Linked DNA regions of Stegostoma tigrinum. The protein of the gene in region 1 interacts with the protein of each later gene in a pairwise test. Links are inferred from orthologs where the notes say so. Each region holds a gene or a part of one and is shown in the gene's direction. Other genes may lie near its edges.

Region 1 (9,955 bases):
CCGTGCCCCGCCGTCTCCCCGTGTCACCCCCGCCGTGCCCCGCCGTCTCCCCGTGTCACCCCCCCGTGCCCCGCCGTCTCCCCCCCCCAGTGCCCCGCCGTCTCCCCGTGTCACCCCCCCCGTGCCCCGCCGTCTCCCCGTGTCACCCCCCCCGTGCCCCGCCGTCTCCCCGTGTCACCCCCCCCGTGCCCCGCCGTCTCCCCCCCCCAGTGCCCCGCCGTCTCCCCGTGTCACTCCCCCCGTGCCCCGCCGTCTCCCCGTGTCACCCCCCCGTGCCCCGCCGTCTCCCCGTGTCACCCCCCCGTGCCCCGCCGTCTCCCCGTGTCACCCCCCCCCCGTGCCCCGCCGTCTCCCCGTGTCACCCCCCCCGTGCCCCGCCGTCTCCCCGTGTCACCCCCCCCGTGCCCCGCCGTCTCCCCGTGTCACCCCCCCCCCGTGCCCCGCCGTCTCCCCGTGTCACCCCCCCCGTGCCCCGCCGTCTCCCCGTGTCACCCCCCCCGTGCCCCGCCGTCTCCCCGTGTCACCCCCCCCGTGCCCCGCCGTCTCCCCGTGTCACCCCCCCCGTGCCCCGCCGTCTCCCCGTGTGACCCCCCCGTCTCCCCGTGTGACCCCCCCCGTGCCCCGCCGTCTCCCCGTGTCACCCCCCCCGTGCCCCGCCGTCTCCCCGTGTCACCCCCCCCGTGCCCCGCCGTCTCCCCGTGTCACCCCCCCCGTGCCCCGCCGTCTCCCCCCCCCAGTGCCCCGCCGTCTCCCCGTGTCACTCCCCCCGTGCCCCGCCGTCTCCCCGTGTCACCCCCCCGCGTGCCCCGCCGTCTCCCCGTGTCACCCCCCCCGTGCCCCGCCGTCTCCCCGTGTCACCCCCCCCGTGCCCCGCCGTCACCCCCCCCCAGTGCCCCGCCGTCTCCCCGTGTCACCCCCCCCGTGCCCCGCCGTCTCCCCGTGTCACCCCCCCCGTGCCCCGCCGTCTCCCCGTGTCACCCCCCGTGCCCCGCCGTCTCCCCGTGTCACGCCGCCCAGTGCCCCGCCGTCTCCCCGTGTCACCCCCCGTGCCCCGCCGTCTCCCCGTGTCACCCCCCCCGTGCCCCGCCGTCACCCCCCCCCAGTGCCCCGCCGTCTCCCCGTGTCACCCCCCGTGCCCCGCCGTCTCCCCGTGTCACCCCCCCCGTGCCCCGCCGTCACCCCCCCCCCAGTGCCCCGCCGTCTCCCCGTGTCACCCCCCCCGTGCCCCGCCGTCTCCCCGTGTCACCCCCCGTGCCCCGCCGTCTCCCCGTGTCACGCCGCCCAGTGCCCCGCCGTCTCCCCGTGTCACCCCCCGTGCCCCGCCGTCTCCCCGTGTCACGCCGCCCAGTGCCCCGCCGTCTCCCCGTGTCACCCCCCGTGCCCCGCCGTCTCCCCGTGTCACGCCGCCCAGTGCCCCGCCGTCTCCCCGTGTCACTCCCCCCCACCCCAGTGCCCCGCCGTCTCCCCGTGTCACTCCCCCCCCCCAGTGCCCCGCCGTCTCCCCGTGTCACTCCCCCCCCCAGTGCCCCGCCGTCTCCCCGTGTCACCCCCCCCGTGCCCCGCCGTCTCCCCGTGTCACCCCCCCCGTGCCCCGCCGTCTCCCCCCCCCAGTGCCCCGCCGTCTCCCCGTGTCACTCCCCCCGTGCCCCGCCGTCTCCCCGTGTCACCCCCCCGCGTGCCCCGCCGTCTCCCCGTGTCACCCCCCCCGTGCCCCGCCGTCTCCCCGTGTCACCCCCCCCGTGCCCCGCCGTCTCCCCGTGTCACCCCCCCCGTGCCCCGCCGTCACCCCCCCCCAGTGCCCCGCCGTCTCCCCGTGTCACCCCCCCCGTGCCCCGCCGTCTCCCCGTGTCACCCCCCCCGTGCCCCGCCGTCTCCCCGTGTCACCCCCCGTGCCCCGCCGTCTCCCCGTGTCACGCCGCCCAGTGCCCCGCCGTCTCCCCGTGTCACCCCCCGTGCCCCGCCGTCTCCCCGTGTCACGCCGCCCAGTGCCCCGCCGTCTCCCCGTGTCACTCCCCCCCACCCCAGTGCCCCGCCGTCTCCCCGTGTCACTCCCCCCCCCCAGTGCCCCGCCGTCTCCCCGTGTCACCCCCCCCGTGCCCCGCCGTCTCCCCGTGTCACCCCCCCGTGCCCCGCCGTCGCCCCGTGTCACCCCCCCCCAGTGCCCCGCCGTCTCCCCGTGTCACCCCCCCCGTGCCCCGCCGTCTCCCCGTGTCACCCCCCGTGCCCCGCCGTCTCCCCGTGTCACTCCCCCCCCCCAGTGCCCCGCCGTCTCCCCGTGTCACTCCCCCCCCCCCAGTGCCCCGCCGTCTCCCCGTGTCACCCCCCCCAGTGCCCCGCCGTCACCCCGTGTCACTCCCCCCCCCCCCCAGTGCCCCGCAGTCACCCCGTGTCACTCCCCCCCCCCCAGTGCCCCGCCGTCTCCCCGTGTCACTCCCCCCCCCCCAGTGCCCCGCCGTCTCCCCGTGTCACCCCCCGTGCCCCGCCGTCTCCCCGTGTCACTCCCCCCCCCCAGTGCCCCGCCGTCTCCCCGTGTCACCCCCCCCAGTGCCCCGCCGTCTCCCCGTGTCACTTCCCCCCCCCCCAGTGCCCCGCCGTCTCCCCGTGTCACTTCCCCCCCCCCCAGTGCCCCGCCGTCTCCCCGTGTCACTCCCCCCCCAGTGCCCCGCCGTCTCCCCGTGTCACTCCCCCCCGTGCCCCGCCGTCTCCCCGTGTCACTCCCCCCCGTGCCCCGCCGTCTCCCCGTGTCACCCCCCCCGTGCCCCGCCGTCTCCCCGTGTCACCCCCCCCGTGCCCCGCCGTCTCCCCGTGTCACCCCCCCCGTCTCCCCGTGTGACCCCCCCCGTGCCCCGCCGTCTCCCCGTGTCACCCCCCCGTCTCCCCGTGTGACCCCCCCCGTGCCCCGCCGTCTCCCCGTGTCACCCCACCCCGTGCCTCGCCGTCTCCCCGTGTCACCCCCCCGTGCCCCGCTGTCTCCCCGTGTCACCCCCCCCGTGCCCCGCCGTCTCCCCTTGTCACCCCCCCGTGCCCCGCCGTCTCCCCGTGTCACTCCCCCCGTGCCCCGCCGTCTCCCCGTGTCACCCCCCCGCGTGACCCGCCGTCTCCCCGTGTCACCCCCCCCCGTGCCCCGCCGTCTCCCCGTGTCACCCCCCCCCGTGCCCCGCCGTCTCCCCGTGTCACCCCCCCCGTGCCCCGCCGTCTCCCCGTGTCACCCCCCCCCGTGCCCCGCCGTCTCCCCGTGTCACCCCCCCCGTGCCCCGCCGTCTCCCCGTGTCACCCCCCCCCGTGCCCCGCCGTCTCCCCGTGTCACCCCCCCCGTGCCCCGCCGTCTCCGCGTGTCACCCCCCCCGTGCCCCGCCGTCTCCCCCCCCCAGTGCCCCGCCGTCTCCCCGTGTCACTCCCCCGTGCCCCGCCGTCTCCCCGTGTCACCCCCCCGCGTGCCCCGCCGTCTCCCCGTGTCACCCCCCCCGTGCCCCGCCGTCTCCCCGTGTCACCCCCCCCGTGCCCCGCCGTCTCCCCGTGTCACCCCCCCCGTGCCCCGCCGTCACCCCCCCCAGTGCCCCGCCGTCTCCCCGTGTCACCCCCCCCGTGCCCCGCCGTCTCCCCGTGTCACCCCCCCCGTGCCCCGCCGTCTCCCCGTGTCACCCCCCGTGCCCCGCCGTCTCCCCGTGTCACACCGCCCAGTGCCCCGCCGTCTCCCCGTGTCACCCCCCGTGCCCCGCCGTCTCCCCGTGTCACGCCGCCCAGTGCCCCGCCGTCTCCCCGTGTCACTCCCCCCCCCCCAGTGCCCCGCCGTCTCCCCGTGTCACTCCCCCCCCCCAGTGCCCCGCCGTCTCCCCGTGTCACCCCCCCCAGTGCCCCGCCGTCTCCCCGTGTCACTTCCCCCCCCCCAGTGCCCCGCCGTCTCCCCGTGTCACTCCCCCCCCCCAGTGCCCCGCCGTCTCCCCGTGTCACTCCCCCCAGTGCCCCGCCGTCTCCCCGTGTCACTCCCCCCCCCCCCAGTGCCCCGCCGTCTCCCCGTGTCACTCCCCCCCCCCAGTGCCCCGCCGTCTCCCCGTGTCACTCCCCCCCCCCAGTGCCCCGCCGTCTCCCCGTGTCACTCCCCCCCCCCCCAGTGCCCCGCCGTCTCCCCGTGTCACTCCCCCCAGTGCCCCGCCGTCTCCCCGTGTCACTCCCCCCCCCAGTGCCCCGCCGTCTCCCCGTGTCACTCCCCCCAGTGCCCCGCCGTCTCCCCGTGTCACTCCCCCCAGTGCCCCGCCGTCTCCCCGTGTCACTCCCCCCAGTGCCCCGCCGTCTCCCCGTGTCACTCCCCCCCCCCAGTGCCCCGCCGTCTCCCCGTGTCACTCCCCCCCCCAGTGCCCCGCCGTCTCCCCGTGTCACTCCCCCCAGTGCCCCGCCGTCTCCCCGTGTCACTCCCCCCCCCCAGTGCCCCGCCGTCTCCCCGTGTCACTCCCCCCAGTGCCCCGCCGTCTCCCCGTGTCACTCCCCCCAGTGCCCCGCCGTCTCCCCGTGTCACTCCCCCCCCCCCAGTGCCCCGCCGTCTCCCCGTGTCACTCCCCCCCCCCCAGTGCCCCGCCGTCTCCCCGTGTCACTCCCCCCAGTGCCCCGCCGTCTCCCCGTGTCACTCCCCCGCCCCCCAGTGCCCCGCCGTCTCCCCGTGTCACTCCCCCCCCCCAGTGCCCCGCCGTCTCCCCGTGTCACTCCCCCCCCCCCCCAGTGCCCCGCCGTCTCCCCGTGTCACTCCCCCCCCCCCCCAGTGCCCCGCCGTCTCCCCGTGTCACTCCCCCCCCCCCCAGTGCCCCGCCGTCTCCCCGTGTCACTCCCCCCCCCCCCAGTGCCCCGCCGTCTCCCCGTGTCACTCCCCCCACCCCAGTGCCCCGCCGTCTCCCCGTGTCACTCCCCCCCCCCAGTGCCCCGCCGTCTCCCCGTGTCACTCCCCCCAGTGCCCCGCCGTCTCCCCGTGTCACTCCCCCCAGTGCCCCGCCGTCTCCCCGTGTCACTCCCCCCCCCCCCAGTGCCCCGCCGTCTCCCCGTGTCACTCCCCCCAGTGCCCCGCCGTCTCCCCGTGTCACTCCCCCCCCCCCCAGTGCCCCGCCGTCTCCCCGTGTCACTCCCCCCACCCCAGTGCCCCGCCGTCTCCCCGTGTCACTCCCCCCAGTGCCCCGCCGTCTCCCCGTGTCACTCCCCCCCCCCCAGTGCCCCGCCGTCTCCCCGTGTCACTCCCCCCCCCCAGTGCCCCGCCGTCTCCCCGTGTCACTCCCCCCCCCCCAGTGCCCCGCCGTCTCCCCGTGTCACTCCCCCCCCCCAGTGCCCCGCCGTCTCCCCGTGTCACTCCCCCCCCCCAGTGCCCCGCCGTCTCCCCGTGTCACTCCCCCCCCCCAGTGCCCCGCCGTCTCCCCGTGTCACTCCCCCCCCCCAGTGCCCCGCCGTCTCCCCGTGTCACTCCCCCCAGTGCCCCGCCGTCTCCCCGTGTCACTCCCCCGCCCCCCAGTGCCCCGCCGTCTCCCCGTGTCACTCCCCCCCCCCCCAGTGCCCCGCCGTCTCCCCGTGTCATCCCCCACCAAGCGCTCGCCGGTTCCCCATGTCAAACGCCTCAGTACCTCTCCATCTCCCACCCCTATCTCCGGAAGTGCGCGGCCGAGTTCAGGCAGCTCCTTCCGCTCGGCGCTGATTGGCCGCCGCTGCCCCACGGATCGGGGATCAGTTTGTTTACACCGGAGCCGGAGCTGGGGGGCGGGGGTCTGCAGCTGGAGAGAACTTTCCAGAACCATGAGTGAACGGCACAGCAACCAGGAGGAGAGCCTGCAGGGTAAGTGAGCTCAGGGCTCGTCCGAGCGGCTGGGTGCGGATAGACCAATGTCCTCCGGGTATCGGCCCTCTCCCCGGGGACTTACCCCGACCCTGACCACCGCCGTGGAGAGGCCCAGACTCAGACCCCACTCCGGGGAGGTGGGGGAGGGGAGTTAACCGCTCCTCCTTTGCTGCCTGCCTCTCCGTTCGACAGCGGGTAAGCCTGATGATCGGGGATTAACTGCAGCCTGCCTGATTTGTTGTCCTTGCACCGAATCTCGGTACAACTCCCTTTGTAACCAAAGCAGCTTGTGGATGAGAGCACTGCCGCAGAATATAAACCAAATCCACACAGCACATCCGCTGTTTGTTCACTGAGTATATTCTTTCTGAACCTTTACTGCAAAATTCTCTCACAAATGAATTTTAATTACTTGCTCACTGATAAAACACGCAATGGTATAGGCTGCCTGTTTATTCTGTACGGAGCTGTTATGAATTTTCCCCTTTATTGGGATAGTTCTACTGTCGGTTAATGTAACATCTAAAATGGCAGCTTAACTGTAGAAGAAAACAAGTTCAGCAAAGACCGAAGTATTCCTCTGTTTTCTATGCCAGGTACAATGGGCTAGATTTTCTGTCCACTCCCTGCCCTATTGACTGGGGCAACGCACTGATTCATTGTATTTACCAAAGGATATGAACTCCTGATCTCTGATCTTCCTAGGGCGCTAGGGTCCTCAGTCTCTGACTGACCTGTGGCAGACTGGAGTCAAAATCTTGTTACAAAGGGCTCCTAAAGCCTCCTCACCTTTGAATGATCGACTTGTGCCCAGCAGGTGTGTCTCACATTCTGTTGGATTCATCTACACCGAGTATTATCCTTATTCCCCGCACCCATCGCCCCACTCACTTTTCAAAATGCACGCTCAAGTGACTCCCAGCAGATGATTGCAACTTGCAGAATGTATATGCGCAAACTTCTCATGAGATGTATCAATGGCACATCCCAGACTTCCCATTTTTAAATTATTGTGCAGAGCATGCCAGGCTGAATGAGCAGCACATGGGGTTTGAAATGCACCAAACAGTATGTATCCTTTAGAGTCTCAGCCCACTTAACAATTCGGTCAGGCTTTACATGCACCCCTTCTCCAACCCTCCTTCAACTTTTTGAAATAGCCACCAGCTTCCCATGATGTCCTAAACAAGACTATAAATTTTCACCCTATATCTTTACTGCATGTGTTCTGTGGCTGCTATATCTTGATCTTGCCTGTGACCACATGCCAAGAGGTTATTCTTGCTGTGGATGTACAATCTTGCATAGGTTTTGCTTTTTGCTTGCACCATGCTTCATGTTGGATATCCAAAATATATGCTTATGTGAATACTAAGATTTTTATATCAATGTTGATTTGAAGCAGGCATGCAACTTTCACAGATGGCAACAGAAACAAACTAAAAAGAACAACATTATTTTTGTAGTGTAGTTTGATATTGTTGCTTTTGTAATGTTTAAAGGATGGTTCATACTAACTATAACACTGCTGGAATTAATTACACCAAGGAATAAATTTAGAAAGTTTCTCTTCCATCTTAGAAGCTAACCTGTCAAGAATACCTTTTGGAGATGTTGTCTTCTTTCCCCAAAATTTTTTAATGATCAATTTTAATGCATAGTTGCAGGCTCATTTGATGAGACTCAACATCAACAGCTCATTTTCATAATATTGCCTCTATTCCCAAACACTGCTAAATTGAGTAGATTTCAAAAGAAAGTTGCATGTGGCTTGGCTTCTAAATACTCTAGAAGCAGTGTGCCTCAAGAAAGTTGTTAGCTGTGTATGTCAATATAAAACTTTGCAAATTGATTTGGAGCTAACCATATAAGCGTGGTTTGTAATGATTGGCGTAAGAAGAAACAGTTATGTTTATAAACAAGTACTACTCAGTTGGTTTGACAGTTGATCTGAATATTGAGTTTAATTCCAGTACTGACTCAGCTTACCATGAAGGACTGTTCTTCTCATCCTGTCCCTTTGAGGTGTGGTGACCTTCTTCTTAAAGCACCACCAGCCATCTCTTTCAAATGAAAGAGCAACCCTATTGTCATGTAAAACTATGGTGATGTGACTTACAAGTGTCTACTAACTTTATGTAATGAACTAAATTCCAAAGAAAATCATCTTGCATTTCTCCAATAAGTTGTTTTATTTTTCATTTTGTGCTTTTCCCTCCTAACTATCCCTGTCTATAAGATAGTAGGAAGGGTCTAGGCATGAAACGTCAGTCTTCCTGCTCCTCTGATGCCATTTGGCCTGCTGTGCAGGGATAACACCTTGTTATCCCTGTTTATGATCATATTTATGGCCCCAGACAGCAAGATTAACAATTGGAACAGTATCTTTTTAACCTTGGTGTACTAAACACAAACTAGATCAACAACCCATGCGTATAATTGTTTTGTATAAATAATCAAATAATTATTTGATTGAATAAAATTTGTTTGACATGCCGGGGCAACAAAATATAAAATATAACCGCCCTTTCTAAGGGATGTGCTCTGTTTTGGTGCACATATATAGCAGTCAGTACTATTGAGTATTGCTTGTGTCATTAGTTGTTGCACTTCAGTTTAGATCCATTTGTTTATGTGACATCTAGAGGGGAATGTACATGTGATCGCTCCTGTACTCAGTTCTGGTGCTTCCCTCTAAAACTTCCATAAAATGGGAGTGGTGTTCACACTGGATTTACTGCAGTAGGTCAGACATTCTGACTTTCTTTTCTTCATTCAAGTCCTGGGGATCAAGTCTTGTAGGGATTCTGTGACCTGATCAATGATCTTCTGTGATCCTCTTTCTATCATCTTGCCAATAGATTGATTAGTTCCTTGGCTTTAACAGTGTGCGGATACAAAGGGAGCATCGTATAATGTTCATCTCACATTACTCTAAAGATGTCTTGGCAATGTGCAGAGCTAAAATGATTACCTGTCTGGGCTGAATAGTTGCATGATCTCACTCAGAAAAAGACAATAGTTGGGATGGAGGGTGATGTTCTAACGGTACTTAACATGGAAGGTACATGTATACTGCAATTTAAAGGTAATTTACCATGAGTGTAGGGTATTAAGTCAAGTAAAAATGAGGCAAGCATCTTACTCCTCATCCCCAGAAGCATGCCTTGGGAATTCCAGCAATTTCTGGCAAACAAGAATTGAGAAATATGGCCACACCAGTATGTGTTACTCACAGTATGAAGCTTTGTAACTAGAACAGCAAATTTTAGAAAGTTGTTGCCAATTATTTTTACAAAGACAAAACTAAATTATCATTGGCTTTGCTGATTTGTCTCATTTGATTAGTTCAGAACATCTCTTCACTTATGGTAGCTAAGTTTCGATGGAAACATCTATCCTTTATGAGTTTTTGAAAAGTAAACAACTGTTCGAGTGACATATTTGATGTAACGTGCTGGGTCACCATAAGGAACAAAAATAGTCCCTGTAGTAATTGTGTGTGAAAGGCTCAATTCTATCCAGTGCAGGGAAAAAAGAGCTGATCATAAAGAACACATTATATGCAACTTGAATATACTATTAATACTGACATTAAAATGTTTGGGCAAGTTAATTGAAAAAATTTCGACCTGTAATCTAGAAAATGTGGTGGACTATAAAGAGGAGTGCACTTGATCAAAGCAGTGTGGCAGTTGCTTTATTTTCAGTGAAGGACTTGTGTACATGGAGTTAATGATTACCCTGTAGAGCAGTCTGAAAGGTCTGGACAAGATGCAGTTCACAGGAAGGACGTAATAGCTTCTTCTGCAGGAGGTACTTTTTGTTTCTTGTTAAACCTTTTTTAATAATTGCACAAATGTGTCCTAACCCATATCCCTAAGTTTCCTTAATCCAGATCAGCTCCAGAGATGCAGGTGATAAAATTAGCATTTATGTTACTGTATTGCTTTGGGGACCAGCTGTTATACTTGACCTGACTTTATTTTCCTGCTATCCAGATTTAAAATGCTGAACTTAAATGTACCACAAGGTTGTTTTTTTTAAAATGAAAATTAATGATAAAATATTAGTACTGACCCTGTAAATGAAAAGGGGCTAGATTGGCCTGTGTAGCGAACATGTGGCACCACTTTGTTTATGAAT
Region 2 (10,152 bases), on another chromosome or scaffold:
AACAATTTTTATTTAAGTTTATGTGAATGTGACTGCGTATAGATGAGGGTAGTGCAATTTATGTGTCTACATGGATTTCAGGAAGGCTTTTGCCTAGGTCTTACATAGGCTGAGGGACTTGAGGCTGTTTTCGTTAGAGAGAAGAAGGTTAAGAGGCAACTTAATAGAGACATACAAGATGATCAGAGGATTAGATAGGGTGGAAGGTTTTTTTCAAAGGCCTTAAGGCCTTTTTCCTCGTGTGGTGATGGCTAGCACAAGGGGACATAGCTTTAAATTGAGCGGTGATAGATATAGGACAGATGTCAGAGGTAGGTTCTTTTCTCAGAGAGTAGTAAGGGCGTGGAATGCCCTGCCTGGAACAGTAGTAGACTTGCCAACTTTAAGGGCATTTAAATGGTCATTGGATAAACATATGGATGATAATGGAATAGTGTAGGTTAAATGGACTTCAGATTGGTTACATAGGTTGGCGCAAAATCTGGGCCTGTAGTGCACTGTAATGATTTATGTTCTATATGGTAGATTTGTTAAAAAGCTAAGGGCCCATGGGACCCAGAGCAATTCGGCAAAGAAATCCAAAATAGGCTTCATGACAGGAATCAGAGGATCAAAGATTTTTTTTGTGACTGGAACCCTGAGTCCAGTGGTATACCATATGGTTTGGCACTGGGTCCCTTGCTGTTTCTTGTGTACATTATCAGTTAGATGTGAATGTAGCAGGCATGATCAGTAAGTCTGCAGTTGTATAGAAATTGGTGGTGTGGCAAGTCATAAGGAGGAAAGCCTTAGACTTCAGGACAATACAGATGGGCTAAACAGATAGGTTGAATGATGGCAAATAGAATTTATTCTTAAAAAACGAGGTAATGCATTTTGGGAAGATTTACAAGACAACGGCGTACATATTGAATGGCAGCACCCTAGGCAATACAGAGGATTATAGACTGTGGTGTACACATCCATAGATTCCCAAAGCCAGCTGGACAGATAGATAAAATGGTTAAGGCGGCATTTGGTTACTTGCACTTATCAGTCAAGACACTGAATACAAGAGCAAGAAGGTTATGACAGAGCTGTATATAGGATTAGTTAGGCCAAAATTGGAGTACTGTGTGCAGTTCTAGTTACCACACTATATAGGAAAGATATGATTGTGCTGGAGAGGGTGCAAAAGTGATTCACCAGGATGTTGATTGGCTGAAGTGATTCAGGTATGAAGGAAGAGTAGATAGGCAAACGGTGTTTTCATTAGAGCAAAGGTGAAAGCAGAGGATCTGATTGAAGTGTCCATAATTTTGACGGGCACAGACAGGTTAAATAGAGAGAAGGTTTCCTCTCAGTGCAGGGGTCGATAATTCCTTAACATAAGGAGCAGAAGGTTTAGAGGGGACTTTAAGAAAACTATTTCACAAAATTGGTTGTGGATATCTGGAACTCACTGCCTGGAAGGGTGTTAGAGGCAGGAATCTTCAAGACATTTAAGATCTGTTTAGATGAACACTTGAAATGCCTTAGCATACAAGGCTACGGGCCAAATGTTGGGAAATAAGATTAGAAGAGATGGATGTTTGATGACTAGTCTGGATACTATAGGTGAAGGACTTATTTCTTTGTTATGAAAACTCTATGACTCTATGATTCTGGAACAATCTCATTGGGCTAGAAGTTGGCAAATGAATTACCACACTAAATAAAAGGGAATTGAGAATGCAAAATCAAAGTGCAATATACCGGCATGATTGGGAATCAGTTAGAAGACGTAAGAAGGCTTCAGGGTGATTTTAAAAAAACATGATGGGCAATTTCATGGCAGATGCAGAATAATGTTGATAAGTGTGAAATTGTATACTTCAGTAGAAAAAGCAATTGCGTGCCACATTATTTAAATAGTGATATATTGAGAAATATAAGTACAAGGCCAAGGTTGCTGCAACTTTACAGGGCCTTGCTGCATCATGTGCAGTTTCGGATGCCTGACCTGATAAAATATACTTATCATAGCTGGACTGCAATGGAGGTTCATCGGACTGATTCATGCAATGGCAGGTTTCTCCTAGGAGGAAAGACTGGGTCAGCTGAATTCACCGTAGTTTAGAAGGACATGAAATTCCATTGAAGTGTATAAAATTCTGGCAGGCTGAACAGACTTGCTGCAGATATGATGTTCACCCTGACTAGGTGCTCTAGAAAAAGGAATTACAGTCTTAGGAAGCCAGTGAGCCATTTCCTGAATGAGATGAGAAATTTCCTCACTCAGATGATGGTGAATTTGTGGATTTCTTTACCACAGAAGAGTATCAAGGCCAAAACCACTGAATATATTTAAGAAATAAATTGGGAGACACCACAAACTATAGGATCAAAGGGGTGTTGAGATAAAAAGCACTAGGTTATAGCAGCATTGTTTAGTCATAATAATGATTTCATTTTTAAAATGGTCAGCCTGAATTTCCAACACTTCATGAGCCCTTTGGTGCATTTCAGTTAATGGTACTGTTATTTCATCACCTAGAAGATGAGCAGTTTAAAAATTGCTATTAGTTTGCTTTAGTTTTATTAGGTAAAGCATCTGGTCAACCCCACAGTGGGTTTCATGGTGAAACGGGCCATTTAATCAAGAGAGAGGAAAGCAGGTGATGACAATGCCTACTTAAAGGGTTCATCTTGCCAAATGCTGATATTAACCCAGTGGAAGGTGAGGGATTTGTGATCATTGCACAACAAATAAACTCTGGCATGTGCACTTGCCAGTTTAAGCGATCCTCCTCATTCAAAGGCACATTAGGAAGTGAAACACTGGCAGCTGAGAGCTGCCCTTACTGCCAACTCCTCCTCTCCTCTCCTCCTCTTACTCCCCCTTTGAGCCCCTTCTCACCATCACTAACCTGAAACGTGGGATCTTGCCAGGACATTTTTCCCTGGGGTATAAGAGGCTGAGGGATAACCTTATAAAAGTTTATAAAATCATAAGGGGCATAGATAAGATGAAAAGCCAAGGTCTTTTCTCTAGGGTAGGTGAGTCCAAAACTAGATGGCATTGGTTTAAGGTGAGAGGGGAAAGATTTACAAGGGACCTGAGAGGCAACATTTTCACATAGAGGATGGTGAGTATACGAACAAGCTGCCAGAGGAAGTGGTAGAGTTGGGTACAATTACAACATTAAAAAGACATTTGGACAGTAGATGGATAGGAGAGGTTAAGAGGGATATAGGCCAAAAGCAGGCAAATGAGACTTGCTCAGTTGAGGAAACTTGGTGGACAAGTTGGGCCGAACAGCCTGTTTACCTGTTGTATGACTCTGAGATAGAAAAACAAAGAACGGAGATGTAAACAAAGTTGCCAGGAAAGCTCAATAGCTCTGGAAGCATCTGCGAAGGAAAAAAGGAGTTAACATTTCGGGTCCGGTGACCCTTCCTCTGAACACTTCAGAACGGAACAGTCACCGGACCCGAAATGTTAACAATTTTTTTCCTTCACAAATGTTGCCAGACCTGTTGGGCTTTTTCAGCAACTTTGTTTTTGTTCCTGATTTACAGCATCCGCAGTTCTTTCCATTTCAAAGAACATAAATTGCTGGGAACAGTCAGCAGGTCTGGTAGAATCTGTGAATAGAAAGCACAGTTGACTTATAAAATCCCGTGGCCCTACTTCAGAACACCTGGGATAGATCCATGATCATGTTGGCAGGTGGAGAGGCTGGTATTGGCTCAATGGCCTACTCCTGCTCCTAATTTCTGTGTTTCCAATCAAGGGACTACTGACAAGGATAGAAGTCTTTAGGTTCAGATGACAGTCAGAAATACTCAAGTGATGTATATTTTCCGATATAATAATTTGGTAACTACTCCTTGCACCTACCCTCTACATGGCTCATGCAGTAGATCATTGACTGACAATACATTATCGACTTTATCTTGGAGAACTGAACCCTCAGGCTCACATTCTTTCACCTTGATTGCTCTTTCAACCAGACTACTCCATGTTGTGTCACTGTGTTCAGTCCAACCGTTGCTCAATATTAAAGAACAGTATTTATCTGAAATCGGTACACAGCTCGCATGCATAAATTATTGGGGGTGGAGGGACGGAGGTTGCTGACAACCCTTACAATCCACCCGAGGTTTGGATTTCAGATCTGTGCATCGAAAGGACAGCAGCCTGTCACATTACTGGCGAGAAATGATCAGCCTGTAAACCTGTTCATGGGATTGTAGTCCACGTCTTCCTAACCACCCAGCCCTCCCTCCAAAAAAGGAGGGATTTGACGTGTTTGTGGACCAGCTGAAAATGTTTCTCCTTTCTTTCGGATTCAACACAAGAAAGACGTTTTGTTCACTCGCTGAAGGCTGGTTTTTTTTGGCAGACTGGCGCAGTGGAGAGGCCAGGAATGAGACGAGGAGTGAGGCGGGGACACTGAGCAGCCACTGCTCACTTTGGTGCCTCCCACTCGGGCTGTAAGTGATTTTAGTGAATGAACATGCCGTGAGCGGCAAATGGTGACGTACAGGATATTGCGTGTTTTCTGGGGAAGAGAATGAAGTGCAGAGTGTGAAAATGAGACAGAGAGAGATCTGTGCCCCGGGGGCTCTGACTGACTGACTGCAGGAAGAGGCAAAAGGAAGGGTTCGGGGTTTGCAGCGCCCGAGGCCTCCTCTCTCGCTGACTGCAGCCGCTCTGGAGGTGGCTGGGAGCCGCAGGACACACCTTCTCCGCCGGGTTTTCAGGAGTCGGTGGAGGGGGCGGTGAACCGAGCTCTGCACAGGAAAAGAAAACCGCCTGGAGGGAAGAGTGGAGCGGGGTGGGGAAGGGCTGCCGGCTGGGGTCTGGGGAGAAACACTGCTCCCACCCACTATCGACAGGAGCTGCTGGAGCAGTCTTGGATCTGCCGGCTTCGACTGAGGGAAGCGGGCAGCCTTCTCTCACCAGTCCCCCGCACCCACCCACCCACCATCTCCTCCTCAACAGTACGACACCAGCCACCATCACCCAGCCACCGCTTTGGGATTATCGCTCACTCCCTTCACTGACTTGCCAGCAACAGAGGCTGACAGCTGGTCCCGCTCCTCTTTACATCTAATTCTACACGTCAGGTTTCGGAGCTGAAAATCCGGCAGCAGCAGCCGCCGCCACACACATACAAAAACTCCATCATAACGAGGGAGAGAGAGAGAGAGAGAGCGGCAGAACAATTCCTCTTTCCTTCAACGGACGGAGCTGAAAAACCTCTCAAAAACTGCAGTCTGTTGGGGTCAGTTTCGTATTCGTCTCACATCAGAGGAGCAAGCGTTTTGACAGAGGGTGAAAAAGAAAATGTGCGTTTAAATTTACGAGCAATTTGCAGTCGACCAAAACGGAATCCATTACTGCAACGCACGGAAAGTGGAATTAAAAACGGGGGTGTGTGTGTGTGTGTGTGTGTGTGTGGGGGGGGGGGGAAGAGGAGCCGGGAGCAGTTTGAGCGATTTTATGAGGAAGATTTGAAACAAAAAAAGGAACATGTTTGGAGGAACAAAATCAAATTGATTAAGGCTACAGGGACGCAGTGAAGTTGACACCTGAGGCGGAAAAAAGTCCTTTTTTATCAAAGTGGTCCCCCGAAGTGGTTCCAGGGATGTGCTGCTGTTGGCTGTGAGACAAAATTTGAACAATTTCGTTTTTGTTGTAATACCATCTTCTTCCCCGCTCGAACGAGATGCCTTACAGCAGCCGTGAATTGGTTTGCCATTACCTGTATTACCGGCTGTCCCGCCAGGGATTTGTGTGGGAGGAGCCCCTAGACACCGCTGCCGGCTCTCCGACCCCCAGCTCACCGAGCCCCGGCCGGCCCCGGGCGTCCGCCGCCGACAAAGCGCACCGCGTCCTCCGCGAGGTGGGCGACAGCTTCGAGCGCCAGTACCAGCAGGAGTTCGCCGACATAGCGCTGCAGATGCGCTTCGAGCCCGAGAGTGCCCGCGGCCGCTTCGAGGCGGTGGCCGAGGAGCTGTTCCGCGATGGAGTCAACTGGGGCCGGGTCGTGGCTTTCTTCGTGTTCGGTGGCACCCTGTGCGTGGAGAGCGCCAAGAGGAGGGACATGGCATCGCTCATTGATAACATCGCCGCTTGGATGACCGCTTACCTGGACAGCAGCCTCACTGACTGGATCCGCGCCAATGGAGACTGGGTATGTAACCAGTGGCCAGGATACACCTTCACTCACCCTCATCACTTGACTATTCTTGAGATTGTCAGCATCATCCACCCCCTTTACCTGCAAAGGAGAGAGACTGTGTGGGACGGTCTGTTTCCTGCCCACTTGCATCACCTACACACCTTCCCACTCAATAAAATGTTTCCCTCCTATCACCTTTCCTGCCCACTTCCATCGCCCAACATATCTATACAGCCTTCACATTCATCCACTTCTGGCCACCCTTTTCTACGTTGCATCACCAGCCACAGGTGGGTGTTTGTTAATGTTTCCGAAGCCACGTGTTTTTAGTTGAGTTTGAATGCCCGATATACATGCAGCTTCTTCTGCATGGCATACTTGTTAGGTCTTGAACTGTTCCATAGTTATGTATTTCTGTTGGATCTTTAGTCCATATCGTTTCTTCAGTCTGTATTGTGATTGCATTCTGTCCTCAATTTTCTTGTATTCTCGTAGAAACCTGGATAAGCTGTAAAATGACTTGATGCTACCCCAACAAAAAGCTGTACCGTTTACGTTCATAGCTTTTAGAGGTGTATATATTTACTTCGCTAAGCATAAATCATGGCGTACCACTTTGTACCCCAATGGGCAGCTGGCTATTCTATCTGCAAGATATTTTCATCCATGTACTGTGCAAGGCTTGTTATTTCGAGTGATGATCTCATTCATTAGATGTACAAGTTTGGTCTTTGTTTGCATACACAGCAGTCATCATGATGTGATATAACAGACACGCTTGCATTTCAAGAATCTAAGGATTTTGGTTGACCTATAACATAGCGTCTCTTGGATAGTCTGAATAGATTTAGGTGATTACCAATAAGTGTGTAGTTTTGAATAACAGAGCTTCCCAAAATGGGGCTCAGGACCCAAAGTGGTATTGAGAGTTGAAACTTTGGGCTTCCAAGCACCGAGACAACCATGGCTGCTGTGGAGTTCTGACCGAGTTATAACAGCTGTTCTCCATCTCTCATAGACCTCTGCCCCCCTCAAATCCCAAGTCCAATCTCTCATTTCATTGAGGGGTCATTATTATTTTCAAAATTAGAAACGGGGGTCATAGTTGGAAAATGTTTGGAAAGCATAAGAAATGTCAAAGGTTAATTTTTTTGACTGGTAAATATTTAGGGTTGATTGTGTTTCTGGGAGAATATGGCTGTAATGACTTTCCATGTAAGTCAGAGATAGGGTATCTTAACATTTATTTAGTATTTCTCTGAGGAAAAATATTCTTTACGAAGATTGTTCATCCATTAAAAATGTTCAAGACTGTGAAGAAAACATTTGTGTTTAATATTGCTGTTGTAATCAGTTTAATCACTACTTATCTGGCATTATGTCTGGTTCTGGGTATTATTTTAGTCAACAGCATATGTTCTTTTGAGGGATTATGGATTTGCTCTCTTGTATAAATCTTCTTCATCCTACATCTAGACATCTGTTCACAAAATATCTTACATACAAAATATATAAATGTTATGCTGTGATAATGTTATTAAGGATCAGTTCAAGTTGAAATCCTGATGAGTTGTTTTCAGCAGTGAAGTTCTGATGTAATGAATACAGGACTTTAAACTATGATGTCAACAATTAATTGTTTTTAGTGAGATCTTAGATATCTGTATTTGCTTTCTATTTGACAGTTCCAAATGAGAACACTGTTAAAATCACTTCAGATTAATTTGTGCAGCAAAACTACTTTAAAATACCAAGTGCAATTAGTTAAACTTAGGGTGCTTACTACATAAATATGATCAGCCTCCAGATTAAATGAATAATTTTTAGAACTTGTATTTATATAGCATTAATGCTGTCTTTAAGCTATTGAAAAGCACTTTACAGTCATAACAGTGACTACCTTTTTAGATGTGAAAAATATAGGAAAAACATCTTTAATGGTTAAAAGTTACAAAGCTCTAGTTCAGACTATTGATTATAGTGATGACTCTTCATGATTTCTTTACCTTGTAAAATTTAACAAAAATAAATCAAATATAAGCATTCAGTGTACATATCTCATATAAATCAAAACTGCTTTTCATTTTTTTCTTTTTCACAAACAATTAGTCAGTATTCTTACTTTCCATTGTTTTACATTCCTTTTTTTAAATTACTGCTTTACACCAGACAGTTAGGAGATGGAGATTGATCCCATAGTTTTCAGGAGATGAAATATATGCAAGCTGAACCGGATTGATACTTTATTATTTGTTGAATCTATAATTTTGTCTACCGTATGGGATAGGATATCTTCTGTTGCCACTCTCCTCGAAGCCTGCACCATTCAAACCGGTCACAATATTATCATTCCTCAATTCCCATTGAGAAGCTGTTTTAATTCAAGTAGGATCTGTACTTTGAATGCTTACTTTCAAATTATTATTTTTTTTTAAGTTTTACAAGGAAAAGGAATCATAAAGACCCATGAGTATAATCAATAGTCTGAACTAGAGCTTTGTAATTTGTAGCAATTAAAGATGCTTTTCGTATATTTTTCACATTTAAAAGCTCTTCTTTTGCAGTACACAAGCTAGTTACAAATTATGCAACAGTTGTCTGCAGCATTGATTTATTTTTCTCTCTACAAATCTGTTCCCTTCCTAGTTCCTGCTGTATCTGTACATCCTTTGGTGACTACTCTGTTTGAAACATAGAAGGTTTAAGATAAGGTTTTGATTAGGTAGAGAATATCTAATGACTCTGGATCAGTAACTAGAGCTTACAAATGGTTGAAAATCAAAGTTTGATTTCAACAATATTTTTTAAAGAAACTCTACAAGGTAGTTGAAAGTGAAGAATTTATGGGGTTATAGACAACAGGCGGTAATGTAGCAGTAAGCATGAACTGTTTGTCACAGCCAGTACAGAGGCATTATCTTCTCAATCAATGCTGTCAATTGCTGTTTTCAAGATTCTAGCAATGACAGTAGCTTCCTGATTTATGGAACCATGCTATTTCAAGGTGAGAGCTAATGTACCAACTTCTGGTTCGTTATAGTGACTGTGGTTAGCCAAAGTTTGGATAGCAATTATTATGCTTGATCTAAAATTCTGGTGTTTGCAAATATTCCAGTTCCTTATATTAAGGAAAAGTTTTAGCAGGATCTTATTGTAAAATTCCTATTTTACTCCAGGATCTTGGCAAAAATTGGCAATTGCTTACTGATTTATAGTTGAATTAATCTTTTGAATTGTGCTTTTGCTCTCTAAAGTGTTTTTTAGATTTCTTTTAATTTTATTGGGGATCAAAAACTGATTATTGATTCTGGCAAAGAAAGTCTTAGAATTTTGTTTTTGTGAAAAAGTCTGAAGAAGAGACATTTGGTTACATCTTTTCCAATTTTGTCCCACCTTTGTTCCACTTGAACATAATCCACAAATTAGATAACCTATATTTGCAACTAGTATGCATTTACAGGTGGTTCTGTCCATTCTGAAGTGATGAGATTAAATAGTTCTTTAGTTTTTTGGGGCGTTTGAAGGAACTACAAGAAGTCTGAGTATATTATATAGTCAAGAAATTATATCTAGAATTTTGATTTTCTCTGCATTTGTCTGCAGGCAAATATTTCTTTGTACATAAAGATTTCCTACATTTAACATCAGTAATTTCACAATGGTCAATATTAGAAAGGTTGGATAACTTGTACCAGAACCATGGTTTGCTGACAACTACTTGAAACTGTACATTCTCTGTGTATATCAAATAATGTTTATTCGATTGCTTGAGTGTTAAATGGTTGTTGTAAATCAGTGAACCTGGATAATCCAATGGGCATAATTACATGTGGCAGAAATAAAGGTGCAAAATTGCAGATTATTTTGGAGTAAGTAGGATGATTTACAGGGACAAAATGAATTTTTTTATTGTTTATGAAGCCAGTCTATGTATATCATGTGCAGAAAAACCTAAACATTTCAAACAAAAATGTTGAAAATGTTTGGGCACTGTAAAATT

What was found. The genes of interacting proteins can lie anywhere in the genome.
Region 2: the proteins of bnip3 (region 1) and apoptosis regulator Bcl-2-like interact in a two-hybrid assay, tested with the Homo sapiens proteins (2 studies listed by BioGRID and IntAct). The link is inferred for Stegostoma tigrinum from reciprocal best matches to the Homo sapiens genes BNIP3 and BCL2.

Annotation. Positions count from the first base shown.
Region 1 is NC_081373.1:36,994,317-37,004,271, reverse strand, and holds the start of bnip3 (BCL2/adenovirus E1B 19 kDa protein-interacting protein 3), read left to right. Parts: upstream 1-5,609; 5' UTR 5,610-5,766; coding exon 5,767-5,806; intron 5,807-9,955. UniProt on the Homo sapiens protein: Apoptosis-inducing protein that can overcome BCL2 suppression. May play a role in repartitioning calcium between the two major intracellular calcium stores in association with BCL2.
Region 2 is NC_081355.1:54,575,816-54,585,967, forward strand, and holds the start of apoptosis regulator Bcl-2-like, read left to right. Parts: upstream 1-5,442; 5' UTR 5,443-5,696; coding exon 5,697-6,164; intron 6,165-10,152. UniProt on the Homo sapiens protein: Suppresses apoptosis in a variety of cell systems including factor-dependent lymphohematopoietic and neural cells. Regulates cell death by controlling the mitochondrial membrane permeability. Appears to function in a feedback loop system with caspases.